Linked DNA regions of Macaca mulatta. The protein of the gene in region 2 purifies or fractionates together with the protein of the main gene of each other region. This does not show direct contact. Links are inferred from orthologs where the notes say so. Each region holds a gene or a part of one and is shown on either strand. Other genes may lie near its edges. The genes, in order: CCNB1, PTCH1 and GRK2.

Region 1 (3,530 bases), on a different chromosome or scaffold from region 2:
ATAAAGGTCAGCCTCCAGAGTAGCTGGGACTACAGACATTTGCCTATATATATATATATATATATATATTTGTGTATATATATGTATTTGTGTGTGTATATATATATATTTGTGTATATATATATATTTGTGTGTGTGTATATATATATATTTGTAAAGATGAGACAGTCATGTACATGGTCTCCTGCAACAACCTGAATATATATATATATATATATATATATATATTTGTAAAGATGAGGATTTGCTACGTTGCCCAGGCTGGTGGGCGACTCTTGTAGTTTATAAGTGTGATGATTGGGTGTTCATGTGAACGTGTGAAATGTGCCACCCTCAAACCTTGTTACAACGTGGGCATATTACCCGTCTGACATGAAAAGAATTTAAAAACTAGCCAGAAACCTTCAGTCCCAGCTACTCTGGAGGCTGAGGTTGCAGTGGGTCAAGACTGCATCACTGCACTCCAGCCCAGGCGACAGAGCGAGACCTTGTCTCAAAAACAAAACCATGTGGAAACATTCTATGACATCTTTTTAAACTATTCCTTCAGTAGATCCCATATTTATGAATCACTTGAATTGCCCTTTAATAACAAAAGTTCTGTATTTAGTCAAACATTCTTTACAATTTAAAAGCTTAGGAGTTCTGTGGGACAGAGCTTACCCATTCACCATTATCCAGAATTTTCAGTGCTAAGCAAAAAGCTCCTGCTGCAATTTGAGAAGGAGGAAAGTGCACCATATCATAGTCCAACATAGTTAGTTCCATCAGGTATTTGGCCAAAGTATGTTGCTCAACATCAACCTGAAACAAAACCCGTGTCACTGAGTTTCTTTCAGAAAATTTTCATTTGGCACTAACCTGCATGCCCATATGTATCTTTTAACTACAAATGTTTGTCTACAAACTCTCAAATGCCCACGGAAAGCCCTAATATTAACATGCAGCCTGACTAAAAATAAAGAACAACTTTCTCTCTTCCCCATGTAGTTAGGTATAATATAGGTCAGTTGAATTCGACTTGCTTGGTCAGCAGCAGTGTTCCCTAATGTACCCATACCGAAAGGTTTCTTAAGAAACCTGTACCTCTCCAATCTTAGATGCTCTCCGAAGGAAGTGCAAAGGTAGAGGCCGACCCAGACCAAAGTTTAAAGCTCTTAGAATCTTCATTTCCATCTGTCTGATTTGGTGCTTAGTGTAAGTATTGTCAGTCACAAAAGCAAAGTCACCAATTTCTGGAGGGTACATTTCTTCATATTTGCTTGCAATGAACATGGCAGTGACACCAACCAGCTGCAGCATCTTCTTGGGCACACAATTATTCTGCAATGGGAATTTCAACACAATGAATAACATGTTTGAAAAGGAGACACAGAGCTATGATGGAGAGGTAGAAAGACATTCTCCCATTGCAAAATCTTAATTAATGATACCATATCCCCCAAGAAAGATTTTAGCTGAAAAAGTCAGTTTCTTTCTTTCTTTTTTTTTTTTTTTTGAGATGGAGTCTCACTCTGTCGCCCAGGCTGGAGTGCAATGGCGCGATCTCAGCTCACTGCAACCTCTGCCTCCTGTAGCTGGGACGACAGGCGCCCGCCACCACACCCAGCTAAATTTTTGTATTTTTATTTTTTTTTTATTTTTATTTATTTTTTTTTTGAGACGGAGTCTCGCTCTGTCGCCCAGGCTGGAGTGCAGTGGCCGGATCTCAGCTCACTGCAAGCTCCGCCTCCCGGGTTCGGGCCATTCTCCTGCCTCAGCCTCCTGAGTAGCTGGGACTACAGGCGCCCGCCACCTCGCCCGGCTAGTTTTTTGTATTTTTTAGTAGAGACGGGGTTTCACCGTGTTAGCCAGGATGGTCTCGATCTTCTGACCTCGTGATCCACCCGTCTCGGCCTCCCAAAGTACTGGGATTACAGGCTTGAGCCACCGCGCCCGGCCGATTTTTGTATTTTTAGTAGAGACGGGGTTTTACTGTGTTAGCCAAGATGGTCTCGGATCTCCTAACCTCGTGATCCACCCACCCGCTGGGATTGCAGGCATGAGCCGCCACACCCGGCCCAGCCCAAAAACGTCAGCTTCTTATGACTCGGCTAGAATCCTGGAAGGGAAAACTTACTGAAATGCTTACCTGCATGAACCGATCAATAATGGAGACAGTCATGTACATGGTCTCCTGCAACAACCTGAATTTCATTTGAACCTGTACTAGCCAGTCAATTAGAATGGCTCTCATGTTTCCAGTGACTTCCCGACCCAGTAGGTATTTTGGTCTGACTGCTTGCTCTTCCTGCAAAAGAAAATGCCGATTATTCTTAGAAACATGACTCCATGTGACACATTTATGTCCAGAAAGATCAGTTAGTTCCTACAGTAAGTAGCACTGGGGCATTTAGAATCTCTATCAGTTCCTTTTTTTTTTGAGACGGAGTCCCGCTCTGTCGCCCAGGCTGGAGTGCAGTGGCGCGATCTCGGCTCACTGCAAGCTCCGCCTCCCGGGTTCATGCCATTCTCCTGCCTCAGCCTCCCGAGTAGTTGGAACTACAGGCGTCCACCACCACGCCTGGCTAATTTTTTTTTGTATTTTAGTAGAGACGGGGTTTCACTGTGTTAGCCAGGATGGTCTCGATCTCCTGACCTCGTGATCCACCTGTCTTGGCCTCCCAAAGTGCTGGGATTACAGGCGTGAGCCACTGTGCCCAGCCTTTGTATCAGTTCTTAATTCAATTATTCATATGGTCACCACAAACAACACCATCACCAAGAAAGAAAGCAAACATTAAGGCTGGCGTGGTGGCTCATGCCTGTAATTCCAGCACTTTGGGAGGCTGAGATGGGCAGATTGCTCGAGGCCAGGAGTTCGAGACCAGCCTGGCCAACATGGCAAAACCTCTCTTTACTAAAAATACAAAAATTAGCTGGGCGTGGTTGCGCACACCTGTAGTCCCAGCTGCTCAGGAGGCTGAGGCAGGAGAATTGCTTGAACCCAGGAGGTGGAGGTTGCAGGTAGCCGAGATTGCACCACTGCTCTCCAGCCTGGGTGACAGAGAGAGACTGTTCCCCCTTCACCCCCCCGCCAAAAAAGGGCAAACATTAGATAGGACAGTGTGACAGCTTTTTTATATTGTCAGGTCTTACGATATTCAATTCACCACAACTCTTGCTAGTCCACTCCCTTCCAAATAAAGATACTATACTATCATCTCAGATCTTTTCACTTGAGCCTCTAAAGTTAGAACCTGAGCTTTACGTAGAGAAAATATCAAACTCCCAGGGCAGCTGGAACCCATCTATTACAACACTCCTGCCTGCTCCAGGGTTAAAGCCCAATAGCAACATAGCTAAGAACTGTGGGGGACAAGAGTGACTTTATTTTAAATGCTAATCCAATGTGCCTTCTGCCTATTCACTTTAAGTTTGGCCTCTCCTCCAAAACAGCCCTTCATACTATTGTATACATTATAGGCTATGATGTCTGTAGCATTCTCTCAGCCACCCGCACATTCATTCTAGAGCACGTATACTTTCCC
Region 2 (4,131 bases):
ATATGAGGAGGCCCACAACCAAGAACTTGCCGCAGTTTTTTTGAATGTAACAACCCAGTTTAAATAAGAGTCTCTGAAACTTCGCTCTCAGCCACAGCGGCGCTTTCCGGCCAGTAGCCTTCCCCTGGGGACGAAGCAGAAGGGAGGAGTGAGCGCCGGGGAGTCGCGGCCCGCGCGCCCACGCCCGGTCGCGCGCACCCGCCCGGTGAGCCCCCAGCAGCCGTGGGGGCGCGGGTGGCCGCGGCACACGGACTCGCCCTCGAGGCTGCAGCCCTGGCGGACCTGAGCGTCATGGGGGGGGGGCGGGCTCGGTCATAAATCAAATCCGGGCCGCAGCGTGGGAGCTGCACCTCGGGGACATCAGGGCGCCCCCACCCGCGGGATCCCTGAGTACGACCTGGGGCACTGGGGCTGCAATACAGGAGAAGAGGAAGCCGAGGTAGAGAGGAGAGAAACCACTAGACACAGGCAATATTCACCCCAGACCTGAGAAGGGAGGGGCTGCGTAATCCCAGCGATGGAACCCAAGGTTCAGGAGCCAGCAAACCAGTCCTGCTCCGTCCATCACCCTCGGGGACGGGCGCTAGGGGCGAGCGCGCTTGGGAACAACATATTGCGGGTTCCCCCAACTGGACCCCCGCCTAGAGTGGTAGTAAGTGGGGATCCACGTGGTGAGCGCGGCCGCCGGAGTTCACTCCCGACGCTTTTCCACAGCGTTGGAAGAGGCTGTGTGAGCTGAATTAGGAAGTGGGGCAGCCATCTGCAACTTACGACAATATTTGTGATCGGAAGAGGGCGGCCACATGGATCTTTCCCTCCTCTCCCTTCCTTTCTGGTTAAACGTAAAAAACAGCCGAGTGCACAGGGAAGGGCCCAGGCCGGCGCAGGCTGCTCCCCGGCGCGGCGTTTCCCCGGCGCTGGCCGCGGCCCCGGCGGGCCCCCGTCTGGGTGCTCGCCTTCCCCGGATTCCACACATTTCAGCGAGCCTCGTAAACACAATGAACCCGGCCGCTCCGCAGACTCGCACCGCGAATTTAAGGTGGCAATTTGTTTACAACTTTCCCTCCCCCTACCAGGCCCTGAGGAGAGGCGGCTCAAAACCTGGAAAACACGGGGAATGTCTTTTTCCGAGAATAATTTTTTAAGGGAGCAGAGATTTCATGCTCAACAAAAGCAAAACCGGCTGCCAAAAAAGGAAACCACCTTTATTTCGGCTCCCTCCCCCCTTCCTCTCTCCGCCTCTCTCCACTCCGCCTCCCCCTCCAAGATGTTAAGAAATGTGGCAGCATTACAGGGGTTTAGGCTGCAAATAGGAGCAGGGGCGCAGGAGGAGGGAGTTCCAGGGCAGGGGGCACGGGGCAGGGCAGTACCACGGCCGCCTTTGAGGTGGTCCGCCGTGGACGGCTTTCCAGTGCTCCGGAAAAGGCACGCCGGGGAGGGTGTGTGTACACACACACACACACACACACACACAAGCACACACCTCCACCCCCTGCGGACCTGAGACAGCCCTTTCCTCCCAGGACTAGAGGGAGGGTTTGAATTTTTCAATCCCCACTTGTCTGCTGCTTTTCCTGGAGAGGTGTGAGTGTGTGTGTGTGTGTGTGTGAGAGAGAGTGTGTGTGTTTGTGTGTGTGTGTGTGTGAGAGAGAGTGTGTGTGTGTGTGTGTGTGGCGGGGGCGATCCCAAAGAGTTAGAGGAGGGAAGAGAAAGTGGGAGGAGAGGAGAGAGTCTGAAATGCACCTTGGAAATCTGCTCCAAAGCGAAGGCGGCGTCGCAGTAGCTGGGCCGGTGCAGATAGTCCCGGTCCGGCGCGGCACCACGGCGCAGCCCCCCCGTCCGTCTGCGCCTCCCACCTCCAGCCGGCCGGCCCGGGGCACCGATGCAGCCGCTGCCGCCGCCGCCGCCGCCGCGGTCCTGGGGCTCGGCGACGTTACCAGCCGAGGCCATGTTGCCGCCGCCGCCGCCGCCGCCGCCGCCGCCGCCGCGGGGACGGAGGCTTCCCGGGCGGCCCGGCGCGCTGCTGCCGCTGCTGCGGGCTCCTGGCGCGCCTGGGCGCTCGGCTCGCGAGGACGCTGCTGGCCGCAGGCTGCTCGGGCTCGGGCTCCGGTTGACAGACCAGCCGCTGCTGCTGCTCACACGGCGGGCGCTGCTGCCGCTGCGGCCGCGGCCGCTGCCGGGGAGTCAGACCCTGCGCCTTCCATTGCCACATTGCGCGGGGGTCCCGAGGTCTCTGCGGCCGCCGCTGCCCACATCCAGTTCGCGGGAGGGCGAGAGCCGGCGCGCCGAGCGAGCCTGTCCTTCGGGCGCTTCCGCGGCACTCCTTGCGGTCCCCAACACCCCCTACCCGCCCCCCGCCCCGCGCCGCGACCCCTTCACTGCAGAAAGAGCCAGCGAATCCCCGTCGCTCCCGCCGGCCGCGCTGCCTCCCTCGGCGCCTCCCGGGTCGCCCGAGCGGCCGCGGAGGGCAAGCGCAGAGCCGCCGCCGCCGCGGGGTCCGAGGGTGCCCGGCGGGTCTCAGCGCTGCCGGGCCGGGGCAGCCGCCGCTGCCGCTGCTCCCGCGGTGGCTGCTGCTGGCGGTGGCGGATCCAGGAGCTGCTGCTCGGGCTGCTCGGGCTCTGGCTGCTGGGTTCGCGGTGGCTGCTCGGTCCCGGACTCTGCTTTCTTGTGCTCCTCGGCAACCCGCTGGACCATTCTGTCCCCGTGCAGCGCGCCTCTCTCGCTCCCGGGACCTGGGGACTCCGCTCTGTGTGTGTGCAGCGGGCAGCGGCCGCAGCAGCTCCTTGATTCAATAGATGAGATGGAAGAAGAAAAAAAAGAACTCTCTCCATTTGGAGAAAGAAGAGGAGGAGGGGAGGGGGTGGAGGGGGAGAGAGCGAGCGAAAGAGAAAAAGGCTGGAGCTCCCGCCCCCGGGGCTGTCAGATGGCTTGGGTTTCTGCGACGCGATTGGCTCGCGGAGGGCAGAAATTACTCAGCAAACATGACTATTATTAGCTGCTTAGCAACAGCTCACCAAAGTAGAGAGACCACCCAGGTAGGCAACCCAGTGTGTGCATCCCCGGCTTCGGGGCAGCCTCTGAGAGCGCCAACCTTCTCGCATGCAATACTTCCATTAAGGAATGCTCCCCCTCCTTTCTCTCTTATTCCTTTTCTTTTCAACAGTGTCTTCTTTTTTGTGGGATGCCCTTTGCGCGCACACACGCGCGCGCACGCACACACACGAACATTTGCCTCGCGGTAGACACGGGGGGAAATGTAATATTTTTTTAAGCGCTTAAACAATTTCTGAAATTCCTCAAAGAAAAGCCTTTCAGAGGCACCTTGGCCTCAAGCTGCAGCAAATACTGGGAGGTCCGGCTCGCATTCCCAGGCCTGCACCAATAATGACAGCGTGCTGGATAGTGCGCCAGTGTGTGCCAGATTTTTTTTTCCTCCTCTCTTTTCTTTTATAACTAAAGGGAAGACTTAGGCTCTTGCAGGGAACAACGCCTCGCATTAAGATAAACAGAATGGAAAGTTAAAGAGGAAAGCAAAGACGTTGGGAAAAGCCACCCTTTCTTCAAATCCGTCTGCCCTCCCCCCGCCGCTTTCTCCCCCAACTTAAAAAAAAAAAAAACCGACAGTACAGTCTTGGTTTGAAGGAGTCAGTGTTCTATAAACGTGGAATCCAGACACCGAAGCAGTCTTGTAGAGGCAGAGGCGTTTTTATTTGAATCTCGAATGTGACATAAGTAAAAGAGAAACAACAGAATCCTTTTTTACAACTCAGAGAAACGTAATTGCTTCCTTGAGAGAGTAAAGTTTTCCTGATTATTTTGGGTTCATTTGTACCCCCCTTTTTATTAACCAGATGTTTATACAGTAAGTTTTTTACAAAACCCGGTATGCATGTTATATTTAATAATAGTATGACGTTGGAGATTATAAATGCCCGATGTTGGATTCATTCAAAACAAACTGTGCGCGGATCGCGAGGGTTTGTCCCGACACCGCGTCCAGTGTCACCAAGACATCCCGGGGATTCGCTTCCCGCGGAGGAGGAAAACACGCGACCCTTTGAGGTGGATCCTGGAGTCAGACACCTCTACACAACTAGGCTTTTTATTTTTTAAAAATTTTGTTTTCGGAAA
Region 3 (4,149 bases), on a different chromosome or scaffold from region 2:
GGTTCCCCTCAGGCCTCAGGGACCCCTACTAGGGCTGTGCAGTGAGAACAGAGAGGAGGCTGAAGCCAGAGATGGCCAAGGGCCTGCGGCGCGATCTAGAGAGCAGACATGCCTTGTGACTGTTTCTGGGGAGGGGCGTCAGCTTGGAGCCTGCTGTGCAGGGGTGTTCTGTGGGCCTGAGAAGGTCGCAGTCAGCCCAGACACTGCACCAGATGTAACACTGCTGGCACCTCCTCCTACTTACCTGGTAAGTGGCAGAAGCTGCTCTCTCCTCCCTGAGAAAAGGTGAGGAATGGGCACTGGACAGCCACTAGGCGGGAGGACTGCCAGCTGGGAAGGGCAGGACGGGGAGTGGGACTCACTGCCTCACCCCACCTGGAAGATGGCCTGGGCCCCAGCAGGCCACCTTGGAAGCCGTGGTGGTGGTGGAGACCTGGTACCACCGAGACCCTCCCGCTCAGGCCCCAGCCCAGCAGAGGCTGAAAAGCAGTCACCAGGTACAAAGAGTCTGAGACAGCCGAATCAGGCACCATTTTTTATAAAAACGCATAGTCTCATTTTTCACTCTTTAAAATCACATTCAAAAATCGGCAAAGAAACGCCCCGGGGAATGAGTAGACGGGAGGGGAGGGTGCGCCAACCCAGCCCCGGGGGGGAGAAGGCGCGACACCACACAGGCAGCGTGACTGGCACGAGGGGGCATGCGGTGGGCGAGGCGGCGCCCCAAGGTGGCGGCACTGACAGGACGTGGGCTGTGGGGTTGGCCAGCCTGGGCAAGGGTACACTGATGGGCCGGGGTGGGGGGCACACTGACAGTCCCCAGCCAGCCTCCTTGATGTGCTGCCCGCCCACCTGGCCGGCCCCGTCCTGGGCAGAAGGGGTCGCACCCGCCCCAGCATCGGGGAGACCTCAGGCCAGGCGAGGCCAGTATGGCCCAACCCACAGTAGCCTTGCTGTGGTCCCTGAGCCCAGGTGCTGGGGGTTGGGGCAAGAGGGGACAGAAGGGAGGGTAGCAGCACCTGCCGCCAATGCCACCCTCTCAGCCGAGCCCTGCAGTGTCAGGGAAGTGGGAGTGGAGGCAGCCAGTGACACCGAGGCTTTTCCTGAATAAGGGCACAGGAGCCCGAGTCACTGTGGGAGGCCTTGGGGACCAGGGAGACAACAGGCCCCTCCTCTCACCAACGCTGTGGGGCAGGACAGTGCAGGGCCTGCCCCTCTGCAGCAGGAGGGGTGCAGTGGGAAAATTCAGTCGGATCCCTGTGCTGCGCCCACCCCAGTGAGGGAGGCTGGGCCACTCAGCAGTGCCCGTGGGCACAGAGTGCAGCCCACAGAGCCCAGGGTGGCACAGCTTGGTGTGGCATCATCCCTCAGGGAAGGGGCGAGAGGGCTGTGCTCTTCCCCCACAGGAAGACACTGGGAGTGGGCAGCCCCTGGGGTCAGGACGGTGGGTGCCGGGCAGCGGCTGGGTTGGTGCAGCAGGAGCTGAGGCAAGCAGGCCCCTCCCGGGGAAGGTGGGCCAGGCTGGGGCCACAGGAAATCACAATAATTACAAAATAAAACCTTTTCCGCTTGGCGGGAAAACAAATAATAAAAATTCGACAAAATAAATTAGAGGTTTATAAAAGGCAGGCGGGCGGGTCAGAGGCCGTTGGCACTGCCGCGCTGGACCAGCGGCACCTTGCTCAGCTCCACCACGGGCGAGCGCGGCTTGTTCTTCATCTTGGGCACCCGCTGCACCAGCTGCTGGGCCTCGCGGTAGGCGTCACGCAGCTCCTTCTTCCACTGCACCAGTTCAGGGTCGCTCTACACATGCCAAGCCCAGCTCTGTTAGCTGGGGCTCTCCCCAGCCTGCCTGACCTGGCCCCTTGGCCCTCCCACCCCCAGCCCAGCCCCCACTCACGTCGCACTGCAAAACGAACTGTTTCCCACCGCGGATCTTGAGGAGCAGGCACTTGCGCTCCTTGATCTGCGTCTCCTCCACGGACTGGATCTCCTCCATGGTCAGCAGGCTCTGCTGCAGGGCCAGGGATGGGTGGTGCGGGTAAGAGCCGGGCCGGCCGGCCACCTGGAAGCCCAGCTCCCAGACCCCCGCACGGGCTCCTTACCGGGGCCTCGCCCTCGCCCCGCCACTCCAGGCGGTTGGGGAACAGGTAGAAGTACCGCCGCTGCCACTGGGTCAGGAAGGGGTTGCCCATCTTGGACATGTAGCCGTGCATGATGCAGTCCTTGCCCAGGGCGTAGTCTGAGGTGAGAGACAGAGGAGACTCAGCCGGCCCCACCTGGGTTTCTTTTTTGTTGTTTTCAGACAGGGTCTCCACTCTGTTGCCCAGGCTGGAGGGCTGTGGCAAAATCTTGGCTCACTGCAACCTCCACCTCCCAGGTTCAAGCGATCCTCCCGCCTCAGCCTCCCGGGTAGCTGGGAGTACAGGCGCGTGCCACCATGCCCGGCTAATTTTTTTTGGTATTTTTTGGTAGAGACAGGGTTTCACCATGTTGGCCAAGCTGGTCTCAAACTCCTGACCTCAAGTGATCTGCGCTCCTTGGCCTCCCAAAGTGCTGGGATTACAGGCGTGAGCCACCACGCCCGGCCCCAGCCTGAGTTTCAATCCCAGAGCCGCCACTTTCTGGCTGTGATCCAGGGCGAGTTCCTTAAACCCGAGCCAGCTGCTCCCTTCTAAGCAGGCAGGGGCCTGGTGCCGCAGCAGCCGGCGACCCTCACCTTCCTCATGGCCCAGCTGCTTGTTCTTGGCTTTCTTGCGAGCCTCCAGCCGGTCTGTCTCAGCGTTGATGGTGTCGAAGACAGTCTCGGCCACCTCCTGCTGCCACCGCTCCGAGATGGTGAGGGGGAAGTTGCGGTAGAGCTCCTGATCACTGTCCAGTAACTTTACCAGGTGGATGGGGCAGGGGCACATGAATGGACAGAGATGCCGGAATACCATCAGCCACAGGCTGCCCAGACCCAGGGCCCTGGGTAGGGATGGTCAGTGCAACTGCCACCCCCAGGGAAGTTGGCTGAGGAGGAGCTGAGGCCTACAAGCTGGCAGGGCTGGCACAGGGTCTCACGGGTGATAAGAAGGGACAGGGATCCTCCCCCAGGCCAGGATCAGAGCCCAGGTACAAGAGGCCAGGCAAGGCCCAGTACCTTGATTCCTTTTGTGTCCTCCTCATCAAAGGAGCCAATGTCGAAGGCGTCAGCCGCGTTCACCTCCCCTCGTGGGGGGATCAGCGGGGGAGGGTACTGCAGCAGAACAGGGCATTAGCTCGGGGGTGGGACTGCAGAGCACCCCCAGTCCCTGCCGCAGACTGTTACCTTCTGCAAGAAGACCATCTGCCAGTCCAGGGAGCGGAAAAAGGGGCTCTCTTTCACCTCCTGAGCCCTGCGGGGAGAGGCCAGTCATCTGGGCTCAGCCCCACCCTGAGCCCTGGGCTTAACTCCTGGTTGAGCCACTTTCTGGCTCTGTGAACTTGGGCAAGTTCCTTAAGCTTGAGCTGTTTCCTCATCTCTCAAATGGGAGAACAGAAGTTCCTACATCATAGGGTTGTGGGTTTTAACATTGGTAAATTTTGCAACCCTATGCCCAGTGCTTAATAAATGTTCAATAAACATAAAAAGCTGCTATTATCATTGTCTGTGACAAGGGCCCCTCTGGAAGCCAGTTACCAGCTGGTTCCAGCAGCTCCAACCCCCAGGGCAGCCCCTCCACCCTGAGAACATTGGACAGGGCTGGCCATGCCCCAACTTGTGAGCTCCTCCAAGGAGGCTGCGACCTTGGAGGGGGTTCCAGGTGACGGGACACAGCCCTTGTCCTCATGGGGGCACAGCCGGCAGCATGCCCAAGGCGCCAGGGCACTCACCCTCGGCCCAGGCAGCCCAGTCTCCGGTTGACGTCTCTCTGCAGCAGCCCCTCTAGCAGGGAGCGGAGTTCAGGGGAGAAGGAGTCGGGCAGCTCCACAGCCTTTAGAGAGGAGTGGGACATTAGCAGGGGCTTAGGAAGAGCCCTCGACCCCATCCCAGCTCAGGGGAGAGAGGGGTCCAAGCCCCCGGCAGAGGGACAGATGGGGCGCAGCTTCCATCTGTCAGGTGCTCCAACAGCAAGGGGAGGACAAGAGCCTAGGGGCAGGAGGTCTGCCTCGGAGGCCAGAGTAGGG

What was found.
Region 1: the proteins of PTCH1 (region 2) and CCNB1 purify together in Homo sapiens (affinity purification with western blotting; 3 studies listed by BioGRID and IntAct, with this or other methods). This does not show direct contact. The link is inferred for Macaca mulatta from reciprocal best matches to the Homo sapiens genes PTCH1 and CCNB1.
Region 3: the proteins of PTCH1 (region 2) and GRK2 purify together in Homo sapiens (affinity purification with western blotting; 3 studies listed by BioGRID and IntAct, with this or other methods). This does not show direct contact. The link is inferred for Macaca mulatta from reciprocal best matches to the Homo sapiens genes PTCH1 and GRK2.

The regions. Positions count from the first base shown.
Region 1 is NC_133411.1:77,240,185-77,243,714, reverse strand, and holds part of CCNB1 (G2/mitotic-specific cyclin-B1), read right to left. Parts: intron 2,291-3,530; coding exon 2,132-2,290; intron 1,324-2,131; coding exon 1,087-1,323; intron 805-1,086; coding exon 664-804; intron 374-663; exon of another isoform or gene 272-373; intron 1-271. UniProt on the Homo sapiens protein: Essential for the control of the cell cycle at the G2/M (mitosis) transition.
Region 2 is NC_133420.1:127,945,275-127,949,405, reverse strand, and holds the start of PTCH1 (protein patched homolog 1), read right to left. Parts: upstream 2,808-4,131; 5' UTR 1,951-2,807; coding exon 1,744-1,950; intron 1,051-1,743; exon of another isoform or gene 772-1,050; intron 125-771; coding exon 1-124.
Region 3 is NC_133419.1:7,100,203-7,104,351, forward strand, and holds the end of GRK2 (beta-adrenergic receptor kinase 1), read right to left. Parts: intron 3,957-4,149; coding exon 3,856-3,956; intron 3,378-3,855; coding exon 3,311-3,377; intron 3,239-3,310; coding exon 3,143-3,238; intron 2,883-3,142; coding exon 2,720-2,882; intron 2,243-2,719; coding exon 2,106-2,242; intron 2,015-2,105; coding exon 1,901-2,014; coding exon of another isoform or gene 1,879-1,900; intron 1,825-1,878; coding exon of another isoform or gene 1,804-1,824; coding exon 1,639-1,803; 3' UTR 523-1,638; downstream 1-522. UniProt on the Homo sapiens protein: Specifically phosphorylates the agonist-occupied form of the beta-adrenergic and closely related receptors, probably inducing a desensitization of them. Key regulator of LPAR1 signaling.